Linked DNA regions of Macaca mulatta. The protein of the gene in region 1 interacts with the protein of each later gene in a pairwise test. Links are inferred from orthologs where the notes say so. Each region holds a gene or a part of one and is shown in the gene's direction. Other genes may lie near its edges.

What was found.
Region 2: the proteins of VPS52 (region 1) and RAB4A interact in binary tests that used the Homo sapiens proteins (3 or more experiments, as listed by UniProt). The two-hybrid records come from large-scale screens. The link is inferred for Macaca mulatta from reciprocal best matches to the Homo sapiens genes VPS52 and RAB4A.
Region 3: the proteins of VPS52 (region 1) and TBC1D22B interact in binary tests that used the Homo sapiens proteins (3 or more experiments, as listed by UniProt). The link is inferred for Macaca mulatta from reciprocal best matches to the Homo sapiens genes VPS52 and TBC1D22B.
Region 4: the proteins of VPS52 (region 1) and MFAP1 interact in binary tests that used the Homo sapiens proteins (3 or more experiments, as listed by UniProt). The two-hybrid records come from large-scale screens. The link is inferred for Macaca mulatta from reciprocal best matches to the Homo sapiens genes VPS52 and MFAP1.
Region 5: the proteins of VPS52 (region 1) and TSTD2 interact in binary tests that used the Homo sapiens proteins (3 or more experiments, as listed by UniProt). The two-hybrid records come from large-scale screens. The link is inferred for Macaca mulatta from reciprocal best matches to the Homo sapiens genes VPS52 and TSTD2.
Region 6: the proteins of VPS52 (region 1) and AIRIM interact in binary tests that used the Homo sapiens proteins (3 or more experiments, as listed by UniProt). The two-hybrid records come from large-scale screens. The link is inferred for Macaca mulatta from reciprocal best matches to the Homo sapiens genes VPS52 and AIRIM.
Region 7: the proteins of VPS52 (region 1) and WTAP interact in binary tests that used the Homo sapiens proteins (3 or more experiments, as listed by UniProt). The two-hybrid records come from large-scale screens. The link is inferred for Macaca mulatta from reciprocal best matches to the Homo sapiens genes VPS52 and WTAP.

Annotation. Positions count from the first base shown.
Region 1 is NC_133409.1:149,037,836-149,041,363, forward strand, and holds the end of VPS52 (vacuolar protein sorting-associated protein 52 homolog), read left to right. Parts: intron 1-1,166; coding exon 1,167-1,278; intron 1,279-1,503; coding exon 1,504-1,622; intron 1,623-2,262; coding exon 2,263-2,409; 3' UTR 2,410-2,963; downstream 2,964-3,528. UniProt on the Homo sapiens protein: Acts as a component of the GARP complex that is involved in retrograde transport from early and late endosomes to the trans-Golgi network (TGN).
Region 2 is NC_133406.1:19,774,711-19,779,244, reverse strand, and holds the start of RAB4A (ras-related protein Rab-4A), read left to right. Parts: upstream 1-1,692; 5' UTR 1,693-1,888; coding exon 1,889-1,919; intron 1,920-4,534. UniProt on the Homo sapiens protein: The small GTPases Rab are key regulators of intracellular membrane trafficking, from the formation of transport vesicles to their fusion with membranes.
Region 3 is NC_133409.1:144,980,929-144,985,423, reverse strand, and holds the start of TBC1D22B (TBC1 domain family member 22B), read left to right. Parts: upstream 1-1,537; 5' UTR 1,538-1,683; coding exon 1,684-1,739; intron 1,740-4,495. UniProt on the Homo sapiens protein: May act as a GTPase-activating protein for Rab family protein(s).
Region 4 is NC_133412.1:21,198,292-21,202,030, reverse strand, and holds part of MFAP1 (microfibrillar-associated protein 1), read left to right. Parts: intron 1-1,590; coding exon 1,591-1,810; intron 1,811-3,739. UniProt on the Homo sapiens protein: Involved in pre-mRNA splicing as a component of the spliceosome.
Region 5 is NC_133420.1:60,767,525-60,772,003, forward strand, and holds the start of TSTD2 (thiosulfate sulfurtransferase/rhodanese-like domain-containing protein 2), read left to right. Parts: upstream 1-1,627; 5' UTR 1,628-1,743; intron 1,744-4,479. Other genes in the region: NCBP1 (nuclear cap-binding protein subunit 1), read right to left, coding at 1,093-1,126.
Region 6 is NC_133406.1:203,101,032-203,105,227, forward strand, and holds the start of AIRIM (AFG2-interacting ribosome maturation factor), read left to right. Parts: upstream 1-1,392; 5' UTR 1,393-1,645; exon of another isoform or gene 1,646-1,845; intron 1,846-2,044; exon of another isoform or gene 2,045-2,045; 5' UTR 2,046-2,175; intron 2,176-2,669; exon of another isoform or gene 2,670-2,921; 5' UTR 2,922-2,929; coding exon 2,930-3,034; intron 3,035-3,087; exon of another isoform or gene 3,088-3,657; intron 3,658-3,772; coding exon 3,773-4,053; intron 4,054-4,196. Other genes in the region: CDCA8 (borealin), read right to left, coding at 600-728, 851-944. UniProt on the Homo sapiens protein: Part of the 55LCC heterohexameric ATPase complex which is chromatin-associated and promotes replisome proteostasis to maintain replication fork progression and genome stability.
Region 7 is NC_133409.1:12,259,945-12,263,683, reverse strand, and holds part of WTAP (pre-mRNA-splicing regulator WTAP), read left to right. Parts: intron 1-912; coding exon 913-1,091; intron 1,092-1,310; coding exon of another isoform or gene 1,311-1,371; exon of another isoform or gene 1,372-2,138; intron 2,139-3,739. UniProt on the Homo sapiens protein: Associated component of the WMM complex, a complex that mediates N6-methyladenosine (m6A) methylation of RNAs, a modification that plays a role in the efficiency of mRNA splicing and RNA processing.

The DNA of each region.
Region 1 (3,528 bases):
ACCTCCTCTCTTCTGCAATTTATTTGTGGAAGAAACTGAGTTACTGAGTCATTTGTCATCTAGAATGATGTACAGTTTAGATTTTGCTGACTGCATTCCATGGTGTGGCCAAACTGTTCCTCTGTCTGGTGTGTTTCTCATAAATGTGTAATTAGATGGAAAGGTTTGATCAGATTTAGTTTTTTTTTTCTACAGGGATATTTGAGAGGTAGTGGTATGCATTTCCATCAGGAAGCGCATAATGTCTTCTTGGCTCTCTTTGTGATGTTAGTAGCCATCAATTTCAGTGCCTAGATACATTAATTAGATTTCTGTATCTCCTACTATCTCAGAATTTTCTATCTTCTGTCTATGCTACATTTTGAGTCCTTTCTTCAGTTATAAATTCTAGTTCATTGTATAATTCTTGTTAATCTGTTGACTTTCTAAAATTGGCTTTTCGTATCTAAAAAATTTCCTTTTTTCAAGTCTGTTCATTCCTAATAGTTCTTACTAATTGGTCATTTTTACATCCTTAACTTTTTCTTTTTTTTTTTTTTTTTTTTTTTTTTTGAGACAGAGTCTTGCTCTTTCATCCAGGCTGGAGTGCAGTGGCGCGATCTCAGCTTACTGCAACCTCCGCCTCCTGAGTTCAAGCGGTTCTCCTGCCTCAGTCTCCCGAGTAGCTGGGATTATAGGCACCCACCACCATGCCCAGCTAATTTTTGTATTTTTAGTAGAGACGGGGTTTCATCATGTTGGCCAGGCTAGTCTTGAACTCCTGACCTCAGGTGATCTGCCCGCCTCAGCCTCCCAAAGTGCTGGGATTACAGGTGTGAGCCACCGTGCCTGGCCTATCCTTAACTTCTGACATTGCAAACAGTGCAACTGCTATCTGTATCTGATAGTTCTAAGGTCAGCAGCTATTGCTTATTGTGTCTGCTGACTCTCTTGGTAGCTGCCCTTCTTTTGTGTCTAGTTATCTTTGAGTTCATTGTTTGATCTTAACCAGGGGAATTGTATGGGCCAAAATTAGGATTGAGGATATTTTTCTCCATAGAGAATTTTCCTTAACTTCTGCAGCAGCTGAAAGATGCCATTCACACGGATCTACATTAGTCATGATGCCAGAATTGGGCAAATCTGCTGACACCAGGACACCTGTGTATATGTGTTTGTCTTTCCAGGAATTCATTGAAGAGTTGCTGTCTCCCCCTTTTGGGGGTTTAGTGGCATTTGTGAAGGAGGCTGAGGCTTTGATTGAGCGTGGACAGGCTGAGCGACTTCGAGGGGAAGAAGGTATGAGGAAAATGCGGTAATGATGGGATCAGTGGTAAGGGAAGTGGAAAAGAAAAATGAAAGGATGCAGATTACATGGTGGGGGAATAGAGTATGAAAGACTGGATTGAGAGAATACCAGAAAAGAGGGTTTGATGGTAAGGATGGCTATACCTTGGGGAGAACTTAGTGGAGTTGAAGATCAGCCAGATCCGTCTCTGACACTCCCTTTCCTCCTGCTGTTAGCCCGGGTAACTCAGCTGATCCGTGGCTTTGGTAGTTCCTGGAAATCCTCAGTGGAATCTCTGAGTCAGGATGTAATGCGGAGTTTCACCAACTTCAGAAATGGCACCAGTATCATTCAGGTGACCTGCAAGTCCCAGCCCCCACTCAGATACCCCATCATTTATTATTTTCTCCCATCATTTTGCTGGGCTCAGCATCATCTAAGTTACCCCATCATTTATTATTTTCTCCCATCATTTTGCTGGGCTCAGCATCATCTAAGTTACCCCATCATTTATTATTTTCTCCCATCATTTTGCTGGGCTCAGCATCATCTAAGTTACCCTTGGTCTTCAGTTACTAGCTGTGCCCAAAGTGCTGGATGAGCCCTAACCTGATTCTTCTTTTTTTTTTTTTTTGAGAGAGAGTCTAGCTATGTTGTCCAGGCTGGAGTGCAGTGGCACGATCTGGGCTCACCTCCACCTCCACCTCCACCTCCCGGGTTCAAGTGATTTTCCTGCCTCAGCCTCCCAATTAGCTGGGATTACAGGCACCTGCCACCACACCCAGCTAATTTTTGTATTTTTTAGTAGAGATGGGGTTTCACTGTGTTGGCCAGGCTGGTCTTGAATTCCTGACCTCGTGATCTGCCCGCCATGGCCTCCCACAGTGCTGGGATTACAAGTGTGAGCCACTGCGCCTGGCTGCCTAACCTGATTCTTAATCATCACTATTAGCACCACTTTACAGTTTGATCCCTCAATGACTTTCTTTGACCAGGGAGCGCTGACCCAGCTGATCCAGGTCTATCATCGCTTCCACCGGGTGCTGTCCCAGCCGCAGCTCCGAGCCCTGCCTGCCCGGGCTGAGCTCATCAACATTCACCACCTTATGGTGGAGCTCAAGAAGCATAAGCCCAACTTCTGATGTGCCGGAAACCACCCTGAGATCTGCCAGTCATCTCCATGGACTTCTGCACCCCATTCCATACCCTTCTTCACCTGGCGGTCCCCTTTCCAGTTTTTCCCTTGCCTCCCAGGCCCTTAATATGGCTTACCTGCCTTCCCTCCCAGCACCTTGCCCAACAGGATAAGCTGGATCTCCTTGGCCGTCTAAATTTCCCAGTGTCTTCAGGTTTCCCAAGACCACTTCCCTGTGGGCTTCCAAAATGGCCTTTATCATTTCTCCAGTCTGTCACCCTCCTTTCCTGCTCCCATACACCCAAGGCTTGTTTCTTCCCCTGTAAAAACCGTCACTGCGTCAATCTCTGGTTCACTCAACTAGTCACCATGTCTTGAGGCATGAAGGAGCTCTTGGAATTGCTGGCAAGGGGTGACTGCCTCTGTCATTGTGTTTTTCAAAGTGATTTCTGTAGTTTTTTGACCTGAGATCTGAGCAATTTGAACACTAACCCTGCCCCTCCTGGCTCAAGAATTAATCCCAAGTCAGTATGCAGAAAATAAATATTTAATATGACATGACACTTCTCCCATTTCCTTTCTCCTTCCTCCTGAAGGCCTTAAGGTGGCCCCATCTCTAGAGTGACCTTTCCTTTCTGACTGCTTCCTGGGCTTATATCCCTTATGGCGGGTGTAACCTCTAACCTCTAGCTACTTCCAGGCCAGAGGAGGAAGGTGGCCCCTGGCTAAAGCAGATGCTGCAAGGGCTGAGAACCAGGCCGCGCAGCCCCAGACACTATCTCGAGGGCTCCCTTGGGACAAGCCCAAGCTGACTCTGGAATCCCTCCTCTGTAGCAGCTCCGTAGCTCCTCTGGTTGTGGCTGTCACAGTCCCTTGCCTCCTGGGCTGCAGCAGCCAACCCACACACACACCGCTGGGGCAGGGGTAGACGAGGCAAAATTCATCCACGTCATGTATTTGTTTGACTTGGAGCCTTCCTGCTGCCCATGCCTATACGCTTCGTTTGACCTTAGGCTCTAGACTGGAGAGACACAGGGACCCCTTTAAGGCCTAAGAGGAAAGGTGCAGTTGAGGAAAAATGGTAATTTGGGGATGTTTCCTGTCTCCTCCACCCCCACGGCCTAAC
Region 2 (4,534 bases), on another chromosome or scaffold:
CACTATCACTGCAGCTCACTGACTTCTTTCTTGTACATAGTGGTTTTTCGCAGGAAGAAAACATCTAACGAATAGGAAAGATTTCAGGTGATGCTGTTTTCTTCCCACTTCCTGGGATCACTGTCTTTCCTCTGAAATGGTTTTAATCAGAACCAATCTACTATACTCAGGAGCCTAAATCAAACACAACATGCAGAGAACCAAACAAGAAAGCAAAAAATGATCTGAGCCATTGAACAAGAAATATATACAAAACAATTTTAGGAAATTGCAGCTCTCACAACCTTTCACCATGGGGCCTTCTCTGTGGTTTAGAAAAAAAACTGCATTTATTTGTTATTAGGATGGGAAAGAAGAGAAAAATACCGACCCAAATAGCCCCTGGGGAAGAGGGAAGCTCTGATGCCAATGTGGAGGATGGAGCCAAATTGACTCAGGAAAAAAAAAAAAAAAAACTTTGTACTGGCATTTTCCACACAGTCCAGGTCACTTGGGAGCTTAGCCAGGGATATTTTGAGCATTCGACAACCTATTGTGAACAAGGTTGGGAACTATGAGGCGCTATGTGGCCCTGATCAAGCTCAGATGGGCCAAATCCTCAACCAAAATTCTCTTTCCCATAAATGTTTATCTCTACATTTCCCACAGAAGGGGATTCTAACTCAGTTTTGCTTCTGAAACCAAACTATCCAAGGCCAGGTGAGATGATTCACGCCTGTAATCCCAGCAACTTGGGAGGCCAAGGAGGGAGGATGCTTGAACTCAGGAGTTCAAGACCAGCCTGGGCAACATAACGAGACCCCATCTGTACAAAAAATTTAAAAATTGGCGTGGTGTGGTGCTGTGTGCCCCTAGCCTCAGCTACTCAGGAGGCTGAGGTGGGAGAATCGACAGGGCTGCGCTGACAAGAGCCAGACCCTGTTAAAAAATAAAAACAAAAAAACTCCTAAATTTGGAAACACATCCCCAGCTGGGGGCCAGGAGATAGTTCTCAGCCGTAATCCAGAACCCTCTAAAATGGGATGTGGAGAGGCTGCTGTCTGTAGTCTTGCGATGACCCTTCAGCATCTGGGCATCTTGAGCTTCTGTCATTCTGCCCACACCTGCTCAGCTCCATTCAAGAGGGCCGGGCAGTTTGGAGTGAAAGCTTAGCTTCCCAACGGGTAAATGAACCCGCCTCCCATTCACAGGGCGGCCTCTGGCTGGACACCTGGGGCCTACTGCCCCCTTGTTACACATTAACCAAGTTCTGGCCTCGATCGTAACTGCGTCAGGGAAGTTTCTTCCTGGCTGACAGCCTCAGATGATGACCGAAGACAATGTCTTTAACTGAGACGGGCCAGTGTGGCAAATGGACTGCTTTCCTCCCCAGTGCAGGCACCTTCCTCCTCTGTTCGGTAACTGGACCCCACTGTCCCCAGCCCTCTGTCACCCCCAAACCTGCCCACCGCCTGCCTCTACCCGGCCTTCCCTGAGGGAAATCGGGACTCAGCCCGCAACGCCCCCACCCGCCGCTCGCCCAGCCTCGGCGCACACAGCCAGGGGACCCAGCCCGCGCACGTGCTTCCGGCGCGCGCCGAAGTCCCCATGCGCCCCGCCCCCGCCTCCCCGTGCGCACGCGCGAACGCGGCGTGGGCCGGGCCTCGGGTAGCCCATCTCCTCTTCCTCCTCGCGGTCGCGGCCGGACGGAGGGTGGAGGTCCCTGCGCCTGCGCGGAGCTGGAGTCCGGCTGGGCCGCAGCCGCTGGGAGGCCGGCGGTTGCCGTGGGGACCGGTCGGGCCCCTCCCTCCTCCGGTCTCCCGCCCCAGGTTCTTCCCCAGCGAGACGCGCCAGCGGACCGCGGGCGAGTGCAGCCGGTGACCCGGCGAGAGGCGGCGCCGCTCCCAAGATGTCGCAGACGGCCATGTCCGAAACCTACGGTACGAGGCCCGGGCTGGCTGGGCGCGCGGATTGGGCCGCGGGGGGCGTCGCCGGCGCGGGGCCGGGCTTGGGCTGCGGGGGTCTTGAGGGTGGCGGTGGCGCCGGCCGGAGCCGTGGGACGGGTCTCGGAAGTGTCTGGGCCTAGGACCGAGATGGGGGACGCGGGCCGCAGAGAGCTCGGGTGGGGTAGCGGGTGCGCCGGGCGCGGGCGGGGCTGTGCACAGCGCATTGGAGTGATCCGCCTTTTCAAGTTTCCTCTTGCTCTTTCTCTGCGCCTGCACTGTTAGCGCTTTTCCCCTCTCAGTCTAATGTAAATAACTGAAGGTTTGGAAAGCCAGCTTGATGTTCCGTTTCAGCTGCTATATTATCCCCAGCGAGCCGTGTGAAGGGCTTAGGGCGACGCCTGTGTTCCTCAAATACTTAAGTTTGACCTTTCCTGGTTTGGAATTCCTTGCTTTACATTGGGATTACGGTGAGGAGTTTCTGATAGACTAATTCATCTCTTCCTCCGGAGACCTCTTCGTTTATTTCTCCCTCCCTCTCAGTGTTTTTTAGTCTTTTCTGAGTTGCATTTTGGCTATTTATAAACATGCCTTGTATCCTTAAGACAGTAAGCACCTTGGAAGCAAAGCCTTGGCTGTTTAATCTTTGTTTCCCCTGCAGCACCCAGACCTGGAGGTGCTCGACAAATACTGTTTTGAATAAGCGAAAGCTTTCCCAGTGCATATACTGTGTGGTGTTTTTTTTTTTTTTTTTTTCCTCCCCTTTTTTGGCCTTGCGTGGTAAGAATAAACAACTTGTACTTTCTTTCAGAGTTGAATATTAATAGATGTTTACCAGTCCCTAATCAGTCTTTCAGATGTGTGTATTCTCAGATTAAGACTTTGATTTGGAGTTTTACAGTCCCAGAGAGAGGCTCAAGTTCAAAATTACATACCTCAAGCCAAATTAGTCCTGTCTCCATCTGTCCTGGCGTGCTGCCTCCTTCTCGGCAACAAATACTGTGGAATGGCATCAGGGAAGCGGGCACCGTGCTGGGAGGGCTGTAAGTCCTGCAGAAAGACAGCAGACACGGCTCTAGTCTCATGGAGCGTACCGTCTATTGAGGGAATGCAGTATTCATCCAATTGTGATACTAATGAGTGAATAATTAAAAACCAGCCAAGAGTTCTTAAGGAGTGTGGTCCGTGAAAGTGTGTTAGAAAGAAAGGTGACCCAGACAGGGGGTGTCGGGGAGGCATTAGCCAGGCAACACACAGAACATCTCAGGCCTGTGGGAAGGGCAACTCAAGAAGGGTGTGTTTTGAGCACCACGCTGGAGAGATGGATGAGGAGACAGAGAGGAGAGGGCCTTGAGGAAGGCGTGAGTCTGTCTTGTAAGAAAAAATGGGAACTTTTGGAAGGGCTTCCATGCTGGGGTCACAGTGCCTTTGGTCCACCTTCAGTGAGTGACTCCTGTGACTGGTACTGCCCTGTTCTTGGTGACAGAGGGGCATGACATCTGTTCCTAGAAGGCTTAGGAAATCCTCCAGTAAGTCGATGCCTTCATCAGGACAAGTGTTTGCAAATGCTTCTGCAAATGGCAGTGGTCTGGTTCTTCCTGTAGAGACCACAGTCAGAAATGTAAGGAAAACATGCTCTTTAGCAATTTTTGGTTGCATCTTTGCACTTCTTTATTTTCAAGTGCTCTTTAGCCCACGCTGAGTTTCTTTAACCTGAGTAAGGAGCACAGAGCACAAGGGAAGGGTGGAATGTCCAAAGAAGAAAAGCAAGTGGGGGTCATGAATCAGTAAGAAAGGACCTTTTATGTTTCATTTTTCGTTTACACAATGATAACAACTGATAAAATAGAGCATATCTTTGGCATCTCCACTTCAGACACAGTTAACTGAACTTTTGAGCTTCACAGATTGATTGCATTCTGATCATAAGGCTTTAACCATTAGTATTCTTATTTCATGATAACTTCCAAGTATGTTTTTACTTTGCAATTCTGAATTGAATCTTTTCTTCTAATAGAGGAAATTAATCAAAAACTAGTAGAAACTAATAAATAGAAAATGAGGCCAGACGTGATGGCTCACGCCTGTAATCCCAGCACTTTGGAAGGCCGAGGGGGCAGATCACTTGAGCTCAGGAGTTCGATACCAGCCTGGCCAACATGGCGAAACCCCAACCCTATTAAAAATACGAAAAATTACCTGGGCATGGTGGTACGCTTGTAGTCCCAGCTACTTGGGAGGCTTAGGCATGAGATTGCTTGAACCCAGGAGGCAAAGGTGCAGTGAGACAAGATTGCGCCACTGCACTCCAACCTGGATGACAGAGTGAGACTCTCAAAAAAAGAAAATGGGCTTTAGAAGGAGCAAGCAGGACAGTTGAAGTTTGCCAAGCTGAAGTAAAAGTCACCTAGAACCAAGTCCTAGGCTGTCACTTGGACATATCAGTGGCCATATTTATATGGCATTGTTCCTTAAAAGTGAAACAGTCAGGCTCCCTTCTGGATATTTGCCTCTGAGCTGGTGAAGGAATGTTTGTCTAACCTTTAAACTCCTTTGTACTCTGTGCTCATTTGCTCTTCTGTAAAAGGAGGCTCTGTGTAGCTTGACAGAGG
Region 3 (4,495 bases), about 4.1 Mb from region 1:
GACAGTGAACTCTGAACTGCTGGTTGCCACCCAAGTAAGGAATCTAGAAGTTGTTTTAGATTACTCCTTCAAGACATCAACTCTTCTAAAGCCCAAACAGCCAGCAAAAGTTCTGGCTGTTCAGAATAAAGACAAAACATCAACCTTAACAAAGCCTCAGTACATCCCTCTTTGGGCTTAGTGTGCAGTGCTGGTCACTGCATCCTAAGAAAAAGAAGTGCCAGAGAATGGCAGGTAAAATGATTAAAAGAATACAGGGACTTTTTCTTTCTTTTTTTCCTGGGTTAAATGCCCATGAAGAAAATAAGATGAAAGTGTATAAAAGCATGAAAGATTCAGAAGAAGTAAAAATAGCCCTCATCATCCAATCCTATAATTCTAAAATTAGGGGACAAAAGAAGCTTGAAAATGGGAGTAATGTAGAAACCGTCGTTGGAGGACATACCCGTCGGGGGTCGGGTCTTTATGTATTCTCCAATATGTGGAAGTACATGTGGTAGCTGTAAATGGAGGGTGGCGGGGGAGTGGGGGACACGCAGCCCACCTCAACAGTCCTTCGATGGGACAAAAACCACTCTGGACTGGTGCCCGCTTTCCCTCTCTCCCCAAATCACCACGGAATACAACCACAGAAACTCAAAAACAGCAAAAAACACCGACAAGACATTCAAAGGATTCAAAATGCTAATATTAAATCTCATTGTCTGGGAAAATTAGATTGAAAATAAATTCAAGGGTGCAAGATTTATAACAGATTAACAAGGGAAATTAAGGATGTTGGTGGGGCCGGGAGGAGATACATCCTTAACTTTGTGATTCACACGATGGAGCTATACTGTGTCCTTCAAAGAAATCGTATTTGGTAATCTGAGTTGGACAGCTATGATAAACCATTTCCTATACACCGTTAGCATAGTCAGAAAGTGAGAGTTATGGATTGACATAGGGATTAGATCATTTGAATTTTTCACCCACAGCACAAGTCCTTCAATCGTTTTCAATAAACAGAGGGAGAGGGAGACTCTGATGAACCGTTGCTCACGTGTTGAGCAGTTAGCAATCCCGGGCTATCGGGTCCCTGCTGACCTTCAGAAAAACGAATGGACATCTAAACGGAACGAGGAAGGGAGGGTAATAACCAGAGTGTCATTGAGTTGAGAGATGTTAAAAATGGGCCACAACAAACACATGGGCCTTTACTTTTAGGTCAAATATTCCTATATATAAATACATAGTATGCTCTCTCTTGCCAAAAAATATTAGACTCAGGAACTTCATTCCTCACGAAGAAGATAATCCCCTCTCTTCCTTCCCATAGGTCCCTTACTTTACCTGCTTCTTCCCTCTTGCGGGTTAGGAACTTTGAGCCCCACCTCTCTGCTCGTCCAAGCTCCGCCTTCCCCGTCCACCTGTGTGCCCAGACCCTGACGTTACCCGTTGGCTTCAGCGGCCTGCAGGATTCCGGCTCCCGATTGGTCGGCCCGTCCACGGCTTGCGCAGCCCACCAATGGCAGCGGTGCTGGGTGGAGGGGTGCCCACATCCAAGATGGCGTCCCTAGGAGCTGGGAGCGGGTGACCGGCGGCGGGGAAGCGGCCTGGGTTGGCCCTCAGATTGCGGGGTCTGGGGGCATCTCGCCAGGCAACCCCTTGGCCCGCCTACAAGGCCTTCCCCCTGCCAGAGCAATGGCCGCTGACAACAGCAAGCAGTTTTGGAAGAGGAGCGCTAAGCTGCCGGGGAGGTGAGCCCAGGACGCTGAGAGGGAGAGGGTATTGGACCAAACCCTTCCAGATCCTAATCCCTAAATCCCGCGGCCCTGGGGCGCCACCGAGGCCGGAAGACTGGTTTGGGGCAGCTGTCAGGCAGAGGAGCGAACAGCGAGCTTTGGGGACGGCTGGATGTGGGTGTAGACCGGGGTCTGGGGGCGGAGGTTTCTGGAGGGGTGACCTCAGCGAGAAGGTGGCCGAAGATTGGGCGTAAAGGGGAGTGGAGTTGGGTGAGTAGTCAGTGTCGGCCCTGGTCTCGGGGGTTCCTCCCCAGAGCTGCTTCCCACTCTAATTAGGACTCCCTCTCAGGGGTCTCCACCACGCACAGGTGGTTGGTCGCTCGAGGATGGCTTGCTCCCCCAGCTCGGCACTTACCCGAAGGGTTCTTGTGGGAGTTTGGGGTCGCCTGCCGAGAGGGTTAGGCAGGAAAAGTGAGGACAATTCTCAACTCCGACCTTACTTTATCTTGAGTTGGCCTTTCCCACTGGGAATTATTACAAGGCGACCACAGAATCAGGTTATTCCTTTGGCATTTTCTAAGGATTTGTCCAACCCCAAGTGACTTCTTCCTCCCCTGTATTGTAATGCACTTCTTGTGCAAATGCACTAAATTCTTTCATTCTTCAGTTGTTTAGCTGGAGAGCAGACCTCCTAAGACTACTCCCACCCTCTTTGTGGTGTATGTTGAGACTTTTGGCAAATTATCCATTCATCAGTCTACTGTTGGTTTACTGTTTCAGTTTATTTTGGGCAAAGTCCTGAGAAGTATAAGGAAGAGTGTGTATTTCAGTCGTGAATCTAAGATTTCTGCCAGCCACAGTCTACTTGGTGATGAAATTCATGTTTGGTTGTGCCCCACGTGCTACCTTTTCTAATGGATTCAGGTTTTTTCTTTCTGGGATGATCTTTTGAACTCGTGACTTTTTTTTTTTTTTTTTTTTTTAAGCAAGAGGGAGATGAGGGTCAATAGTGGCTGAGTTAGAGCCTTACTTTTTTTTTTCCCCCCCCCCAATGAAATAGAAATAAGGTCTGACTATGTTTGGGCTGGTCTGTAACTCCTCGCCTCAAGTGATCCTCTTGCCTTGGCCTCCCAAAGTGTTGGGATTGTGGGCGTTAGCCACCATGCCCCACCAAGAGTCTTGTTTTATTAAGGATCCTAGTAGACATATGGAAAATAGGTGGAAATCAGCTTTTAGTAATACTTATTAAATAATAGAAAGATAACATCAGATTAAAGTGCTGCGGACTTGCGGTGTTGATATAACTGTTAAAGATGTTCTGTGTTTTTAGGTAAGCACCACTTCCTGCCAACTGATTCCTTTTCCTTCCTGGTTTAGTGAGCTCTCTAGTTGTGCTAACTGCTATTCTCCGGGGTTTTCCATAGTGAGATCATTAAATTTTGACATCCTAAGATTATAATCAGAATCAATAGGAAGACAGTTGTATCAGGAAGCAGTGCAAGAGATGTGGGACATGGCATGGGCTTCTGTGCCTTCTGACTGGTGGTTGCTATTAACAATCTTTTTTTCCTGTATTTCCTGTATTTGACTCTAAGAACAGTCAACTTTTTTAAAGCACTACTTTTCTGAGATAGGAAGAGAAGTCTTTTCAGTTTCTTCAAGCTTCTGGATTCCCTTTTCATTTCGAAGAATATAGAGAAATAGAGAACTTTTGAGTTCAGAAAGACTTGGGTTACTATTTGGGCTCTCCTGTGTGTGTGACCAAGACAAATAATCTATCTAGGCCTCAGTTTCCTTATCTATGAAATGAGAAATAAAAATACCTTCCTCAGAGTTACTGTGGGGACTAAGTGAAATACCCTATTTGTAAAGAACCTAGGACAGTGTTTATTTAGCACATTATAGTTGCTCAGAAGACAGTAGTTATTAATATTACTGTCATTATTAGAGCAAGTAAACATTTAAAAGAATGTTACTCAGATCCTTACCCCAGCTCATTGTCTTCCTTGTTTGTTTTAAGGTATTCAAATATTGTCACAATTCATAATAATTTTTAGTACCTTACTTGGTAAAGAGAAATATTTTTCAGCTGTGTGCTTTTAGCAGTAAAGCCCACAAGCCTCTGGTCGTGGGAGAAAACTAAGGTTCTTTTAGATAGAAAGGTACTTTGATTTAAAGAAAATATTAGAGCATTTTGTCAAGAATAGAACTTTTGCATCTGTACTCTTTCGGTCTTAGGGAAGAAAAACTTTCTCCTGGGTGGGGAAATGACACAAATGACTGTACTAGACGCATGGCAACTTGGAAATGAAACTGCTTTACTCTTCATTGCAAATTGAAAGGTGAAAAATCAAAGCGATGACAAGATTCTTTCTGTCTGATCATGATCCAACAACCTTAGTGACAACAAATAAAAATTTTATTACATAAAATAACAAGTTACAAATGAATGAAACATTCTTTTTAAAAATAACAGCTTTATTGAGATATTAATATACCATGAAATTCATTCTTTTAAAGTGTACATTTCAGTGGTATTTAGTATATTCATTTATAGTACAGATGGTTTTGTGCAACTATCGCCACTAATTTCAAAACATTTTCATCATCCCGAAAAGAAACTACATACCTGTTTACAGTCACTCCCCATCCACCCCACTCCAGACCCTGGTAACTACTAATGTACTTTCTGTTTCTGTGGATTTACCTCTTTTGGACATTTTATATATATGGAGTCATATGATATGAGTCCTTTTGTGAGTGGCTTCTTT
Region 4 (3,739 bases), on another chromosome or scaffold:
TAGTAGAGACGGGGTTTCGCCATGTTGGCCTGGCTGGTCTCGAACTCGTAGCCTCAACTGATCTGCCCATCTTGGCTTTCCAAAGTGCTGGGATTACAAGCATGAGCCACTGTGCCCAGCTATATATATTTTTGTGTTTGACACAGGTTCTCACTGTATCACTCAGGCTGAAGTGAGTGCCTTGCTGTGGTCACGGCTCGCCACAGCCTTAACCTCCTGGACTCTAGTGATTCTCCCACCTCAGCCTCCCATGTAGCTTGGGACCACAGGCATACACCACCATGCCCAGCTAATTTTTTTATTTTTAGTAAAGACAAGGTCTAACTTTGTTGCCCAGGCTGGTCTCGAACTCCTGGGTTTAAGCAGTCCTCCTGCCTCAACCTTCCAAAATGCTGGGATTACAGGCATGAGCCACCGCACCTGGCCCCCTCATTAATTTTCTAAGGTTAAACTATTCTTGTAGTCTTGAGCTAAATTCTAATAAGTTGTGTTGGCTTAGGGGTTTTTTGTTTCGGGTTTTTTTTTTTTGGTAGTTTTTATATCGCTGGGATAAATTTGCTCTTATTTAATATTTTTGTATTTGTGTTTGTAAGTGAAATCCACCTAAAGTTTTCCTTTGAACTGTCCAATTTGGTTATCAAGGTTATACTCATAAAATAAGTTGGTTAGTTTTCACTGTCTCTCTTTGTTCACTAGAATTGTTTATATTTGTAGGCTGGGTGCTATGACTCACGCCTGTAATCCCAGCACTTTGGGAGGCCGAGGTGGGCGGATCTTGAGGTCAGGAGATGGAAACCATCCTGGCTAACACGATGAAACTCCATCTCTACTAAAAATACAAATAATTAGCTGGGCATGGTGTAGCGCATGCCTTTAGTCCGAGCTACTCAGGAGGCTGAGGCAGGAGAATTACTTGAACCCAGGAGGCGGAGGTTGCAGTGAGCCGAGATCATACCACTGCACTCCAGCCTAGGCGACAGAGTGAGACTCCGTCTCAAAAAAAAAAAAAAAAAAGAATTGTATTTATAACAGATTACCTACTCTTGCAGGTTTGATAACACATAAGGTAAAGGAAAAGAAGGTAGAAATAAGTAAGATTAGAATATTGAGTCATGTGGTAATATGTTATAAAGGCTGCCGTGGAAATCCCAGAGGGAACTACAAGAATGCCTGAGCAGCATTTTAGTTTTATGTTCCTGCAGAAATCATCCTTACTATGTGGTGGGCACTGTTACAAATAATTTGTTTAAGGGTATAGTTGAGGTGGGATGCCATGAATTTGTGATGGATGCAGTCTGCCTTTTTGCGGGGGACTTTTTTCTACTGTTTCACTGCCTGCCTTCCTCCACTTCATTGTACTCAAGGTAAGCCTCATTATCATCAGTGTTGGCTTTCACAAGGAGGCAGTCTCGTGACTTGGCCTTTGTAGGAAAACACTATTAGATGAATAGATGGTTGGGTAGTGGCTCTTTTCTTCTCCTGCTTAGACTCTTGTCTACTATGAATAAAGGGTTCTATTTGCAAAGGCCATAATGGGATGAAGCACATTGAGAAACAGGCTACTGAAACATAGTTATTTTTCTCACCCAGGTGAGATTTCAATGGAAAAAGTGAAGGTAAAGCGTTATGTGTCCGGAAAGAGGCCAGACTATGCCCCTATGGAGTCCTCAGATGAGGAAGATGAAGAATTTCAGTTCATTAAGAAAGCCAAAGAACAAGAAGCAGAGCCTGAGGAACAGGAGGAGGATTCATCTAGTGACCCCCGGCTACGGCGTTTACAGAACCGTATTAGTGAAGATGTGGAAGAGAGGTAATGTCTGTGATTGTGTTTTACTTGAACATGAACCTCTACAGCTTAATAATAATAGCTAATACTTGAATAGTACTGCCAAGTAGCTGACATTTGCTAATTGTTGTAATCCATACAATAGCTTTATGAAATAGGTGCTATTATCCCCATTTCACAAAAGAGGAAACTAAGAGCACAAAGGGGCTAAGAAAGTTACATGACCAAAGTTACAAAGTGGCAGCTTCAGAAAACAGCAGGTTACTTCTGGCCTAAAGGACCTACTCAACTCCTTACGGGAATAGAAAACACAGACCATTCGTTGGCTGTTGAGGGGAGTCTTTTTAGCACAAAGATGTTTTATAAACTTTGGTAAATTGATTTTATACATCTGCTTATTCTAAATGCTAATAAGGGGAAATGACACTGAAGCAGGAGAAAAGACCTCATAAAGGTCTCATTGTAGAAAGTCTCCCAGTGAGGGATTTTGTATGTTATATACTGATTGAGACATTACCTTAATAGAGCAGACCAGGGGTCCTGAACTTTCACCGTTCATAATTGTCCCAGGGGTTTTTTCACAGAGCTCCTGGGCCAAAACAGTTCTGTTTATTTTAGTTAGTAAGTAGTTAGAGCCAAGTAACTTAATAAGTATTTATGTCCTAATAACTTTGCCACTTGAAAATTACAGTGCCCATGGCCGGGCGCAGTGGCTCACACCTGTAATCGTAGCACTTTGGGAGGCCGAGGCAGGTGGATCACGAGGTCAGGAGTTCAAGACCAGCCTGGCCAACTTGGTGAAACCCCATCTCAACTAAAAATACAAAAAAATTAGCCAGGCATGGCAGTGGGCACCTGTAATCCCAGCTACTTTGGGAGACTGAGGCAGAGAATTGCTTGAACTTGGCAGGCGGAGGTTGCAGTGAGCCGAGATCATGCCACTGCACTCCAGCCTGAGTGACAGAGTGAGACTCCGTCTCAAAAAAGAAAAAAGAAAAAATAAATAAAATTACAGTGCCCATGGGGAAAAAAACACTTTTATTCATTCTCACATAACCACAGTTACTAGTGGAATTTGTGTGCCTATTGGACACTGACAGCCTTGCAGACCTTGGAATCAGCACTGTCACTTTTTCATGTCTTGTTTTATATTGATATTCACACTGTACTTTTTACCACAGCAGCCACCAAAACCCAATTTCACGAAGATACGATATTCTCAAAAGGAATGTAATATGACTTAATGTTGAAACTGAATTACCTTGAGCTATTGAAAATATCCCAATGCAGGCCACGCTCGGTGGCTCACGCCTGTAATCCCAGCACTTTGGGAGGCCAAGGCAGGCGATCACCTGAGGTCAGGAGTTCAAGACTAGCCTGGCCAACATGACGAAACCCCCTCTCTAGTAAAAATACAAAAATTAGCCGGGTGTGGTGGTGCACGCCTGTAATCCCAGCTACTCAAGAGGCTGAGGCAGGGAGAATCGCTTGAACCTGGGAGGGGGAGGTTGTGGTGAGCCGAGATCACGCCATTGCTCTCCAGCCTGGGTAACAGAGTGAGATTCTGTCTCAAAAAAAAATCCCAATGCATCCCTATGAGTTTGCTGGCTTGCTGTGGTGCCTTAGGATGCCTCAACATACGTTTAGTATTTCAGGCCAAACTTGGCTATTTGCTCTGATATCCTAGTCTAGTTCCTTTAATCTGCACCTCAGTTTCCCCCACCTCAATACTTTAATATTGGATGGACATGGTGGCTCACATCTGTAATCCCAGCACTTTGAGAGGCTAAGGCGGGCAGATTGCCTAAGTCCAGGAGTTGAAGACCAGCCTGGGCAACATGGTAAAACCCCGTCTCTACAAAAAATACAAAAATTAGTCATGTGTGCTGGCATGCCTATAGTCCCAGCTACTCAGGAGGCTGAGGTGGGAGGATCACTTGAGCCTGGGAGGCA
Region 5 (4,479 bases), on another chromosome or scaffold:
TAACGTTTACCGCCTCTTAAGCGCTGGCAAATGATTAAAACATCATCGTTGCTGATGTGTATTACCTCATCTAACCTTCACAAAACCCAGAAGATATAAGTATCATTACGTCTATATTACAGACTAAAGTTTAAGGAGATTACATAACCTGGAAAAGATCACCAAGTAAATGGTAGGGTCTGGCTTTGAATCTAAACCCTCTGGTTCCAAAGTCTCACCTCTTAACCACTACTCTACACTCTCTTCAAAAAACAATACACTAAAACGTTAACAGAATTACTCTAAGTTTCACTTTTTTGGTGTGTGGATTTGTGTTTTTGACCGATTGTAAGGCTTATGTATAATATAAGCATTTTTTTGTTGTTAAAACTAGAATTATTCCGTCTTTATGAAGACAACACTATGATCTCCACGAGCACAATCATCCAAATGCAGATGGGAACCCCTGTTCTAACTCTCTGAGGCCTGAAGTTAGTTTTCTAGCACTCTCTCTCACACGAGGGAAATGCGCTTACGGCCACTTCAAAATCTGCAGTAACCTGTGTCTGTTTATTAGGGACCTCTTGGGCGTGGGTAAGACAATATTCTTTCCCTGCAGCTCGAAATAAGGGAAATCAACGGATGACCACTACCGGAACAGAGTTCAGATTGCAACTCATGAGATCTCTCAGTTCTTTCCTTCAGTGAATTCTTCCGAGCCCTTCTCAGGTGCAGCTTTGAAGGTTAAAACGAGACACTGGGACCAGTGGGTCCCTAAGACGCGGCAGCACGGACACAGGTGTGCTTCCCTGCTCGGTGGTGCTAAGGACCAAATTCTGAAGCCTCCTTAGAGACCAAGGGTCTACCCATGGGGTTCACCAGGCCTCCTTTCCCGAGGATCGGCCCTTGACTCAAAGAACTGGGGCGGGAGAAAAAAAGTCGCTTTCTAGAAGCCGCCCAGTCACACCGCCACTGTATTCCCCTCTTTCCCTCCGCGGCTCCCCACACGGTCCCGGGGAGAAGAGCTTCCAGTCTCTTCCATGGACACTCAAAGATGCCGAGCCTCGGTTCCCAACCGGGAGCGGCCTCCGCGGCCGGGCTGCAGGTACTCACCGTCGTTCTCGTCGCTGTGCCGCCGCCGCGACATGCTGCCCTCCGGTGCGCCGCGGAGCCCAGAAACCAGGCGGTAAGCGCCGAGGAAACTGTCCTGCCGCTGGCCGGCGCAAGGACAGCTGCGAGGCGCGCGGATGGGCCGGCACGCAGGCGCACTCGCTCGCCACGGCTCCCGGAAGCTCAGGAGAGGCCGCCGGGTGGGCTCGGCGCTGCTAGAGCCGGCGTGAGGAAGCTCAGTGGGCTACGGGCGTCGGGCACACACGCAACCGCCCCCTCAGGCTGCCCCCGCCTGCCGGCTGCTTCTTTCTCCCGCCTTCCGCTCTGTGTCCTTCCGGGGCCACGCAGAAAGTGCCGCCGTTTCGGCCAGTCAGAGACCCCGGACCGCTGTCGTCGTACGCCTGAAGGCGGGTGGTGCCGGCGGCCGCTCTAGTCCCCGCCTCCGCTCAGGCCGGTCCTCCGGGGCTTCTCAATGGTTTTCCCGGCGGCCCTTGCGCCGACGTCCAGGAGACTTCCGGAGCCTGGTGACGTCACGAACGAGCTTTTCTACCCAAACACGCGACGGGGAACACACTGCAGGGCGGTGAGCGGTAACAATTGCTAGGTGGAAACAGTGCAGGGAAGAGAGACCTAAGAAAGGATCAGGACTGGCGGGTATGTGCTCGTCTACTCCCACTTTCTGGCTTTTGCCGCCTTGGGAAAAGTGGGCGGAGAGGTTGGGCCAAGCTCGGCATGCGGGGTGGGGCCTGGGCGGGAGGCGGTGCCGCACGTGCCTCCCCCTGGGTTGGAAAGGCCGGCCCTGACGCGAGCGTGCTGCTCCCGGCTTGCCGGCTGGCTGTCATTTTCCCTAAGTTGTTTGCTTAAGAAGGAACAAATGATTGTTTTAGTAATCAAGGGTTATTGGGTACCTGTATGCCTGTGTGTGACCGTCCCCTGCCCTGATGTCTTTATGAGTACCATACTGGCTTATCTGCTTTGTCCATGGCCATCTGAAATTTCACTCTCCCGGCCTAATTCTCTTTCAGTCTTACCCATTTCAGTAAATGACGTCATCCATCGGCTGCTTAATCCAAAAATTTAGAGAGTCTTTCTTAGCTCTTTTCCCTCACTTTTTACATAACAATGATCTGTAAACCCTGCCTGTTCTCCTTTCAACACAAATCCTGAATCAGATCGTGTTACTGCTCTGTTTAAAAGTCTCCTGTGACGGCCGGGCGGGGTAGCTAACGCCTGTAATCCCAACACTTTGGGAGGCCGACGTGGGCGGATCCGCTTGAGCCTAGGAGTTCAAGACCCATCTGGACAACGAGGCGAACACTGTCTTTACAGGGAAAAAAAAAAAAAAAAAAAAAAAAATTAGCCGGGCCTAGTGTTTGGCTCCTGTAGTCCCAGTTACTCGAGGGGAGGGTTGGGGGCGGAGGTGGGAGGATCCCTTGAGCCCAGGAGGTCGAGAATACGGTGAGCCGTGATCACACCACTGCACTCCAGCCTGGGGGACAAAGCGAGACCGTGTCTTAAAAAAAAAAAAAAGTCTCCTTCGACTTTCCATTGCACACTCCATACCATGGCCTGTGGAGTTCTACCTCTCCTCACTGTACTCCAGACCCTCTTTCTGTTCGTACAATAAGTCAAGCTTGTTCTTATTTTAGGAACTTATACTGTTTCCTTTACCTGAAGGTCTCTGGTTCTAAATCTGCGTGACTGGCTCTTGGTCACTTAGGTCTCAGCTCAAATATCAGGTCCTTAGTGAGGACTTCTTTGGTTACCCAATTGCTGTTTTATTTCATTCAGCGAATATTGTATTTATTAGCATTTAGCACCTCGTAGGTGCCAGGCAGAGTTCTGAATGCTGAGGATGTCGAGGTGAACAAAGGAAAACCACTGCTCTCGTGGCGCTGATATATTCTAACGATCCATTCAGGAATAGCCCCAAATAGTGCCATCATAGGTAGTGAACAATGGGAGACTAGTAGATGAGATCAGAGGGGTAGGGAGAAGGTGCTCTGTAAGGACTTTGAACATTATCCAAGTAAATTGAGAAGTCATTGGAGTATGAATTTTTTTTTTTTTTTTTGAGACAGAGTCTCGCTCTGTTGCCCACGCTGAAGTGCAGTGGCACAGTCTTGGCTCATTGTAACCTCCACCTCCTAGGTTCAGGCAAGTCTCGTGCCTCAGCCACCTAATTAGCTGCAATTAAAGACATGCGCCACCACACCAGGCTAATTTGTGTATTTTTAGTAGAGATGGGGTTTCGCCATGTTGACCAGGCTGGTCTTGAACTCCTGGCCTCCCAAAGTGCTGAGATTACAGGCATTAGCCACTGTGCGGGGCCAGTCTGACTTATTTTTTAATAGTTACCTCTCTGGCTCCCAAAGGAGGAAGATAGTTCTGCTGTTACAATAATTCAAGCTGCAAATGATAGTAGCTTGAACTAGGGTGGTAGTGAAGATGATGGTGCAAAGTGATCTGATTAGATTGTACTTCAAAAGCAAAGCTGGCCAGGCATGGTGGCTCATGCCTGTAATCCTAGCACTTTGGGAGTCCCAGCTGTACTCCCAGCTGCTACTTGGGAGGCTGAGACAGAAGAATCACTTGAACCCATGAGGCGGAGGTTGCAGTGAGCTGAGATCATGCCACTGCACTTCAACCTGGCGACTGAACGAGACCTGTCTCAAGAAAAAAAAAAAAATAGGATTTTCTGAACAAGTGAATGATAGTGTGAGAAAATAAGGAGTCAGGAATCATCCCAAAGTTTTTTTTTGTCTGAGTAACCGGAAGAATAAAATTGTCTTGTACTCAGATAAGGAAGACTAGGGAAGACCAGAGTTTGGTTTTGAACAGTTGTATTTGAAGCTGAAGCTAGCTAGCTTCACACGCAGTGGGGTATGTGAATTTGTAGTTTGGGAGAAAGGCCCAGGTTGAAGATATGAATTTGGAGTCATTTATTGTATAGTATTCTAAACATAAAATTTCCTTTATGTTTCCCTTTTTTCTTTTTTTGTGTAATTTTCAAATATTTACAAAAGTAGGGAAAATTTATGATGCATCCCCATGTACTCATCAACTTCAGTAATTCTTAATTCATGAATATTCTGGTTTCGTTGATATTACCTCCTCTCACCCAATTATTTTGAGGCAAATATAGTTTTAAGTCCTTGGAAGTAGATGAGATCACCTGTGGGGTAAGTATAGATATAGAGTAGTTCAACATTTAGAGGTTGGGGTAATAAGGAAGACCCAGCAAAGGAAACTGAGAAGCAGGGACCCTTATCCCTAGCTGGTATTTTCTTTTTTTTTTACTTACTTAATGTCTCTCCTTACCAGAATATAAGCTCCAAGAGGGCAGGGACTTCAACTGTTTCATTCATAGCTGCATTCCCAGGACTATTC
Region 6 (4,196 bases), on another chromosome or scaffold:
CGAGACCAGCCTGGCCAACATGGTGAAGCCTCGTCTCTACTGAAAATACAAAAATCAGCAGGGCATAGTGGCAGGAGACCGTAATCCCAGCTACTCCGGAGGCTGAGGCAGGAGAATCACTTGAATACAGAAGGTGGAGGTTGCAGTGAGCCAAGATCGCACCACTGCACTGCACTCCAGCCTGGGTGACAGAGTGAGACTCTGTTCCAAAAAAATAAAATAAAATTCCTGATGTGTGAAAATTATGTGAAATTCACATTTCAGTGTATCCACAACTAAAATTTTATTGGAATACAGCCCATCCATGCCCATTCACTATAGCTGTTTTGGACCTGTAACAGCAGAGCTAAGTTGTCCGACAGAGACCCCTCCCACCGGCTCAAGTAGCCTAAAATATTTGCTACCTAGGCCTTTAGAGAAAAGGATGGAGACACATGACTTACGGAAGTGAGACAGAGAGTGAAAGGGTCTGCAATTTTCCATAAGTGGTCATGTCAGATTTCATTAAAAGGTGACATCTGAGCGAGTCCTTTCTGAAGGGTGTTACCTAACCCCACGGGGCTCCCGGCCTCCGCCCAGGGAAGCTCTCCAGCTCTTACCGAAGTAGTCAAGCCAGTTCATCTGGCGCAGCGCCTTGGGGAGCCGCAGGATCTCGATGTTGTAGAGGTTATCCACCTCCTTGAGGAGGTTCTGCCTGTCTGACTCAATTTGCTTGATTCGTATTTCCACTGCGGGAGGGCAGAGCCGACAGGACACGGGTCACGGGGCGGGTGAATGTGTGCAGCTCGTGTCCCCACCCGCCAGCATCCCGCGACCGCCCCAGGAGGCCGCGACGGCCTGGCCCCTTTACCTTCACGGTCGAAGTCTTTCAGAAAGGAGGCGAGCTTCCGCCTCCGTAAGGAGTTGATCTTGGCCACCCGACTACTGCCCTTCCTAGGAGCCATGGCGCTCGGCGGAGGCTGCGGGGAGCGGCGGAGATGGGGCAGGGAGGCAAGGAACCAGGTAGGGACCAGGAGGGCGGATGGGGACCACCCGAATAAGTCGCCAGGCACGTACCTCCGGTCTCGCGACAAGGACTGAGTAAAACCTCGCTATGCCAGTGAGAGAGAGCGGCTCTACCGTCAACCGCCACCTAATTCAAACTCCACAGCCACAGGCTGACGAATGAGAAACCGCCGTCCCACAGTATCCAATCACAAGCAAGTTCCTACCTGCCCGGGGTCTCCCGCCCAATGCGCTCCCTATAGCCGGAGTGCGTCAGCGCGGGCGCCGCCGTCGCGGGTGCTCCTGGGAGTTGTGGTCCAGGCTTGTTTCCCCGCCCTCCCCACCAACCCACCCGGCTCCGCCCTGGCCGGCTGCAAACTATACAAACTGCGACTCCCGGCAGGCCTTGCGGCGGGTCCTCATTACCCCAATCTCTGGAGGGCTAGGAGCGGGCTAGGTCAGGTCGGCTGTAGGATTCTGCTCCGGGGCCGGCGGCTGCTTCTTCCAGGCCTGGCTGCCACTGAGTAGCCGAGGGGCCGCCGTGACACTCTGACTGATTGACTGGTTGGCTGCCTACGTCGGCGCTCCTCAGGGCCCCAAGCTCCCCAGGCCGAACTTGGGGCAAGTGGAGGGTCGGCGGAGACAGAGCAGCCCCGACAGGGTTTGGAAGGGGTCGAGGCGGAATGACAGGGGAGCGGGGCCGGGGTGCAGGCTTTGGGGTGGGCGCGCCAGCCCGTGGCCAGTTTGGGCAGCGAGTGGGGAGAACCCTCTTGTTCCTCGCTTGCCCGCGGGGCGGCCACTCCCGTCCAGTTCGCGTCTTGGCGCCTCGACTGGGTGTGCAGCGCGGGGCCGCGACTTCAGGTGCGAGTAGTGGCGCTTGGCAGCTGCCCACGCGGTGACTGCAGCGTGAGCCGCGGCCACCACACTCCAGGGAGCCCAGGGCGGGAGGCAGCTCTGGGTGTTCTGGCCGTGGGCCTGGGAATGGGCGTGTAGACCTCGAACCCCGCTGAGCCGCAGTCCTGTCGGAAGTGCTAACTGTGCATCTTTGCATCTGCCCACAGCCACAGGGTTGGATTGCTCAAGGGTTGTGCTGAGACCCAGCAAGGCTAGAGGCTAGTTTCGAAGCTGTAGCTCAGGCTGAGTCTCAAGGCGGGCGACGACTGGACGGCCAGACCGGCGAGCTCTTGACAGGTTTGTGGCCTGATTGTTTGGATTTGGTGCTTTTCACCTGTGGATGCGGAATGAAGCCATGTCAGAGGGGTTGTTTGTGTTTAAGCGTGCATGTTATAGGCTATGGGAGTGATAATCTTGCCTCTCCCCCTCTGAGTTCAGGAACAATCAAAGAAATAAGCAAAGGTGCCAAGCAGGCTCCTGATGGGCACCAGCGAGCTTGGGGACAGAGCAGTCCAAGCATAGAAACCCTGGCAAGCCTGGCCCTTCCTAGAAAGTCCTTTCTCTCTCTCTTCCACCCTGGTTTGTTGCTCCATATACAAAAAATATTTGAATGTCGCTCTTCCGCCCAAGGTCAGCCCTGGGCAGTGGGTGGTGGGGGTGACACCCGAGTCTGCTGGGTGCCTAAGGATCTCCATCAGTTAGATGGCCAAGATGAGAGGGGACGACAACCCGTACCTCATGTAGGCTTTCCCGCAGCAGGTGTTTTTATGATGGGCAAATTGGGCTTCCAGCCTCTCGGTTTCAGGGTTTCCTTCACCCGACTCCCCAATGTGCCCGACCTCCCTGGGCACCTAGGATGTCCACCTGCATCTCAGCCAGAGCTGCCACGTCAGGAGCCCGTGATTCACTAGTTTTTGCCAGTTGGTTGTGATACACAATGTCAAAAGTGTCATTAAGGCACAGCCGAAGGCGCAAGCTGAGAGGAAAAGACTCCACAGTTAAGAGGACATGCCACCACTGCCACCCAATTTAAACTGCCGCAGGCTGACAAATGAGAAGTCGCCGTGTTTGGACGGTCCCAACATCCAGTCCCAAGGAAGCTTCAAGCCGAGTGGCCAATCCACATGTTGGACTACAGTACCCAGAAGTAATTTCGGTACTATGATATATTTTCGCGACTCAATAGCCTTGCAGGCCTGCGGAGGAGCTTTGGGGGCGGTCGCCTGTGAGCATGCGCAGAGAGACTATGGGCGCGTGGTGCTCACGCTTTGGGTGTCTTGACTTTTAAGTTTTTCCGCTGGTTTCAGGAACGCGACCGGCAGCCTCGGGCAGGGGAGACAGGACTGTAGGTCAGAGAAGAGACGGCGATTGGCCGCCGGGAATCCTCTGAAGCAGGAGACTGCCCTATCCAGGTTACCCTTCCCAAGGGGAAGCCAGGATCTCCTTCAGAAAGCTGAGGCAGGGCCGGGGCTGGTGGCTCACGCCTGTAATCCCAGCACTTTGGGATACCGAGACGGGCGGAAAACCTGAGGTCAGGAGTTCAAGACCAGCCTGGCCAACATGGCGAAACCCTGTCTCTACTAAAAATACAAAAATTAGCCGGGCGTGGTGGCGGGCACCTGTATTCCCAGCTACTCGGGAGGCTGAGACAGGAGAATTGCTTGAACCCGGGATGCAGAGGTTGGAGTGAGCCGAGATAGCGCTACTGCACTCCAGCCTGGGCGACAGAGTGAAATTCCGTGTCGAAAAAAACAAAAACAAAAAAAACCACTTCTGGAGGTGAGACAACTCCTGTGTGAACACGAGGACGGAAATGACGCCCACCCTCGACCCAGTGCCTCCCGGACTGACTTGCCACCCCAACGTGGTTATTTTCTATTTTTATCTTTTTCAGCAGAAGATGACTCAAGACCGGCCTCTGCTTGCCGTGCAGGAGGCCCTGAAGAAGTGCTTCCTGGTGGTGGAGGAGCAGCAGGGCCTGTGGCAGAGTGCCCTGCAGGACTGCCAGCCCCTCCTGTCTTCCCTCAGCAACCTGGCGGAGCAGCTGCAGGCCGCACAGAACCTGCGGTTCGAGGATGTGCCGGCGCTTCGGGCCTTCCCAGACTTAAAAGAGCGGCTGAGGCGCAAGCAGCTGGCTGCTGGTGACATCGTCCTGGACAAGCTAGGGGAAAGGCTGTAAGCAGCTCCATAGTGCTCTTTCCTGGTGGAAGGATTTTAAAACGAGGTGTTTTATATGTAGCTAGTATCAGTCCAGAAGGTGTTTTTCTCCTTGAAAGCGTGGCATTTGGAGGTATCTCAACCTTCCTCACTTACCATCT
Region 7 (3,739 bases), about 140 Mb from region 1:
ATAATCTTTCACCTGATGTATTTTTAGGGGACTTTACATAGAATAATTTCCATAGGCAAAAAATTAAAATAAGCAAACCAAAAGACTTCATTAACTCTTAGGTAATTAATTTTTTTTTTTTTTTTTTTTTTTTTTTTTTTTTTTTTTTTTTTTGAGGCGGAGTCTCGCTCTGTCGCCCAGGCTGGAGTGCAGTGGCCGGATCTCGGCTCACTGCAAGCTCCGCCTCCCGGATTTACGCCATTCTCCTGCCTCAGCCTCCTGAGTAGCTGGGACTACAGGCGCCCGCCACCTCGCCCGGCTAGTTTTTTGTATTTTTTTTTAGTAGAGACGGGGTTTCACTGTGTTAGCCAGGATGGTCTCGATCTCCTGACCTCGTGATCCGCCCGTCTCGGCCTCCCAAAGTGCTGGGATTACAGGCTTGAGCCACCGCGCCCGGCGGTAATTAATATTTTAAACTTTGCTTTTTTCCAGTGGGTTGTCAGCATTTTTAGTAAATATAATGTTGATTTTTGTTTGTTTTTTTGGTAATTTTGGATTGTAAAGTAAAATGTATGTAGCCCCTTTAAGATCCAGATTTGGAGACGTAATCAAATGGCCTCAATTCCTAAATGAATAACCTTAGTTATTTTTTAATTGACAAATAATTTTTGTACATATTCAAGGACTACTAGTGATGTTTCAATACATATAATGTGTAGTGATCAGATTGGGGTAATTAGCATATTCATCAAATAGTTTTTAATCTGTACTTTTTCGAGAAAGTTTTAAGATTTTTCTAGAGAATTTCAGGATGAAAGAGGGGAGGACTTAATGAAAGAGTTGGTAAATCAAGTGAATGGAGGGAGTTTTCCCCCACCTTCTTATGTATGTTTCCTTTGATTTGGTTGTAATTGTTTCTTTTGCTTTGCACAGACTCAAATCCAGTACCTCAAGCAAGTCCAGCAGCCGAGCGTTGCCCAACTGAGATCAACAATGGTAGACCCAGCGATCAACTTGTTTTTCCTAAAAATGAAAGGTGAACTGGAACAGACTAAAGACAAACTGGAACAAGCCCAAAATGAACTGAGTGCCTGGAAGTTTACGCCTGATAGGTAAACAAATCATACTCCCCAGTCAAGACTTCCCTGACAGTCCCACTACGAGAAAGCTGTGGTGGGACAGCCAAGTACTCGTTTCCACACCAAGACTCAGACTTTTTGAGCCAAAAAAAGCCACATTCTTACACTGTCCAGCTTGTAATGGTTAATGTAAAACTTACCAGATGAACCTTGTGTTTCAGCTTTTTTCTTTTCCCCTTCCCCTTGCTTCAGAGGCCTGATGGCGTCGGACTATTCCGAAGAAGTGGCCACCTCCGAAAAATTCCCCTTCTAGAACATGTAGACACTTGAGAAATGTTTCTGTTTGAAGAAAATAGAGGGAGAAACAGAAGTCTTAAGTCTGTGGCACACTGTGTCTTCAGACAGTTTGAAGGAATGAAAACCTAGAGATTTTAAATCATGAATTGAACATGTAAAATTCCAGTAAAATGTAAAAATGGAATATGCATCGCTCTTAACCTTGAGCATAGTGACTTAGAGACACTGTGTATCAGTTTTGCCAATAAGACTGTGGACTTCATGATTGTTGTTGAACTTCTGGGTCAAAACTCAAATGAGGTGAATTTTGCCTTTAAAGGGTTTATTTGCTGAGAACCAACTTTTAATAGTCACGAGAGAATCAAATAATAGATGTCCGTACAAGTAGCGCATATATTTAACCATTTAGTTTGGGGCTCTATATTACTTGCTTGAGCCTTAATCAATGTGGTTTTATTCAATGGTTTGTTCTTTGAATGGTTGCAAAACTGTAGATTATCTTACTGAGGACTGTACAAACGTGAAGGTGTGGTATCAAACTTCAGGTTGAAACTGTTTGAAGCATTATAAACATTCATTTCACAACTAGATTGTATAAGGATATTAGCTGTGATGAGACTCACTGCATTATTTTTTTAGTGAATTTTATGAAATCCCCATTCCATTCAACAGGCACATGTTTAAAAGAGCATTGTCGTTGGTGTTAATGGGGGAATGTGTTCCTTCATTGTATTTGGGCCTTTTGTATTGCACTCTTGATATTAAATTAAATGTGCCTTGAAATAGTTGGTTTTTTTTTTTTTAAGTTCAAAGAATATTATGATGATTTTGTTGTACTCTAACATTTTAATTTGGGGGGGGGCCTGTGGAGAGCAGATTCATTTTGGAAATACTGTTGCTGTGCTCTTCAAAGTGAAGGAAAAGGCGCTGTGCCTCATTTTTAAAAGACCTACATAAAAGACAAGGAGACTTGACACTGGTTACTTTTATGACACTTTGTCCCAGGGTACTGCAGTAGAAAGTAATTGCGGGACAGCTTCACAGGGTGCCTGCCAGAAGATAATGTGTTGGAACTGTGGGCTGGCCTAAGTAAGACATTTTGTGAATTGAAAAAAGGTATAGTGATCATTTCTAGTAAATTCATTTAATCATTTAGATAAATGAGGCATTATTTTCTTCATGCTTCCATCCAATCCTGGAGGTGAATTTTTTCCGTCAGATCATTCTATAAGTCACCAATTCAAATTTTCGCTTGGTGATAATGGAGTCTAAGATGAGTGGAAGATAAATGTTCCAGCTTGTCCCAACGTTTAAGTGCAGTTTTAACAAGGGTGACTTAAGTTCTCTCTTAATCATTCAAATCAATTGTAAGTATCTTATATATGTTTGTGCTTTAGGGAACTGATTGTGGGGCAGAGGGTGGGTTGAAGAAGTGGTTTGTGTGACTTTTCAGCAAGAAACCTGCTTCTAAAATTCTCACTATTTGTGAGGGTTGGAGGGTAAGTAACCGGATCTGTTTGAAATTAGCTTATGTGATTGCATTAACGCTTTTGTATATATTTTATGCCATTTTAAGTTCACAGTAGAAATGGCCTAAGTATCTTTTTAGTAGAATTTAGTAGAAAAGTAATTCATAAAATGTATTATTAACATGTACTCAAATTTAGCAGGCATCTTTCTTTGCCACTTAGATAACAGTCATGAGTTCTATGGGTTTTTTTCTTGTCATTGTTAAAATTTTCTCTTTTAATAATAAGATAATACATGCTTGTATATAAAATTGAAATACTATAGAGAAAGGGGGAGATGAAAAGTGAGTGTCACTCTCTGATGTTACCTGGACATCCTCATTCTGTTCTCCAGGAGCAGTAACTGCTATTACTTTTTCTTGGGTATCATCAAGATAATTTCTATGCATATACAGTCATTTTATGTATATTATTTTAAACAAATGTGATCATACCATAAACACAGATGAGTTGCACCTTTTTTTTTAGTTGGTCTCTTCGGCATTTTTCCATTTTTTAGTGTATCTAGACTACTACATTTTTAATGGTTGCATAGTGTATTTCCATTATATTAAGGAATCATAATTTATTTAAATCACTTATAAATTGATTTTTTTCTGTAAAATTGGCTGTAAGCCAGAGTATATCAGGTACTATAAATACATCACTAATTTGAAACAAATAATGGCTCAGGCAATCCCCTGTCTGGAATATTTCCAGTAGTGGAATGGGTTTTGCTTTGGGGTGTGTGCGTGCGCACGTGTGTCTTCGCTTTACTGTTTTTTTGTTTTAATTTTGAGGAAGAAAGATTCTCAGAAATAACCTGTCCAGTTCAGTTAAAATATTTCATTCATGTGAGAATGCACACATTTTAGA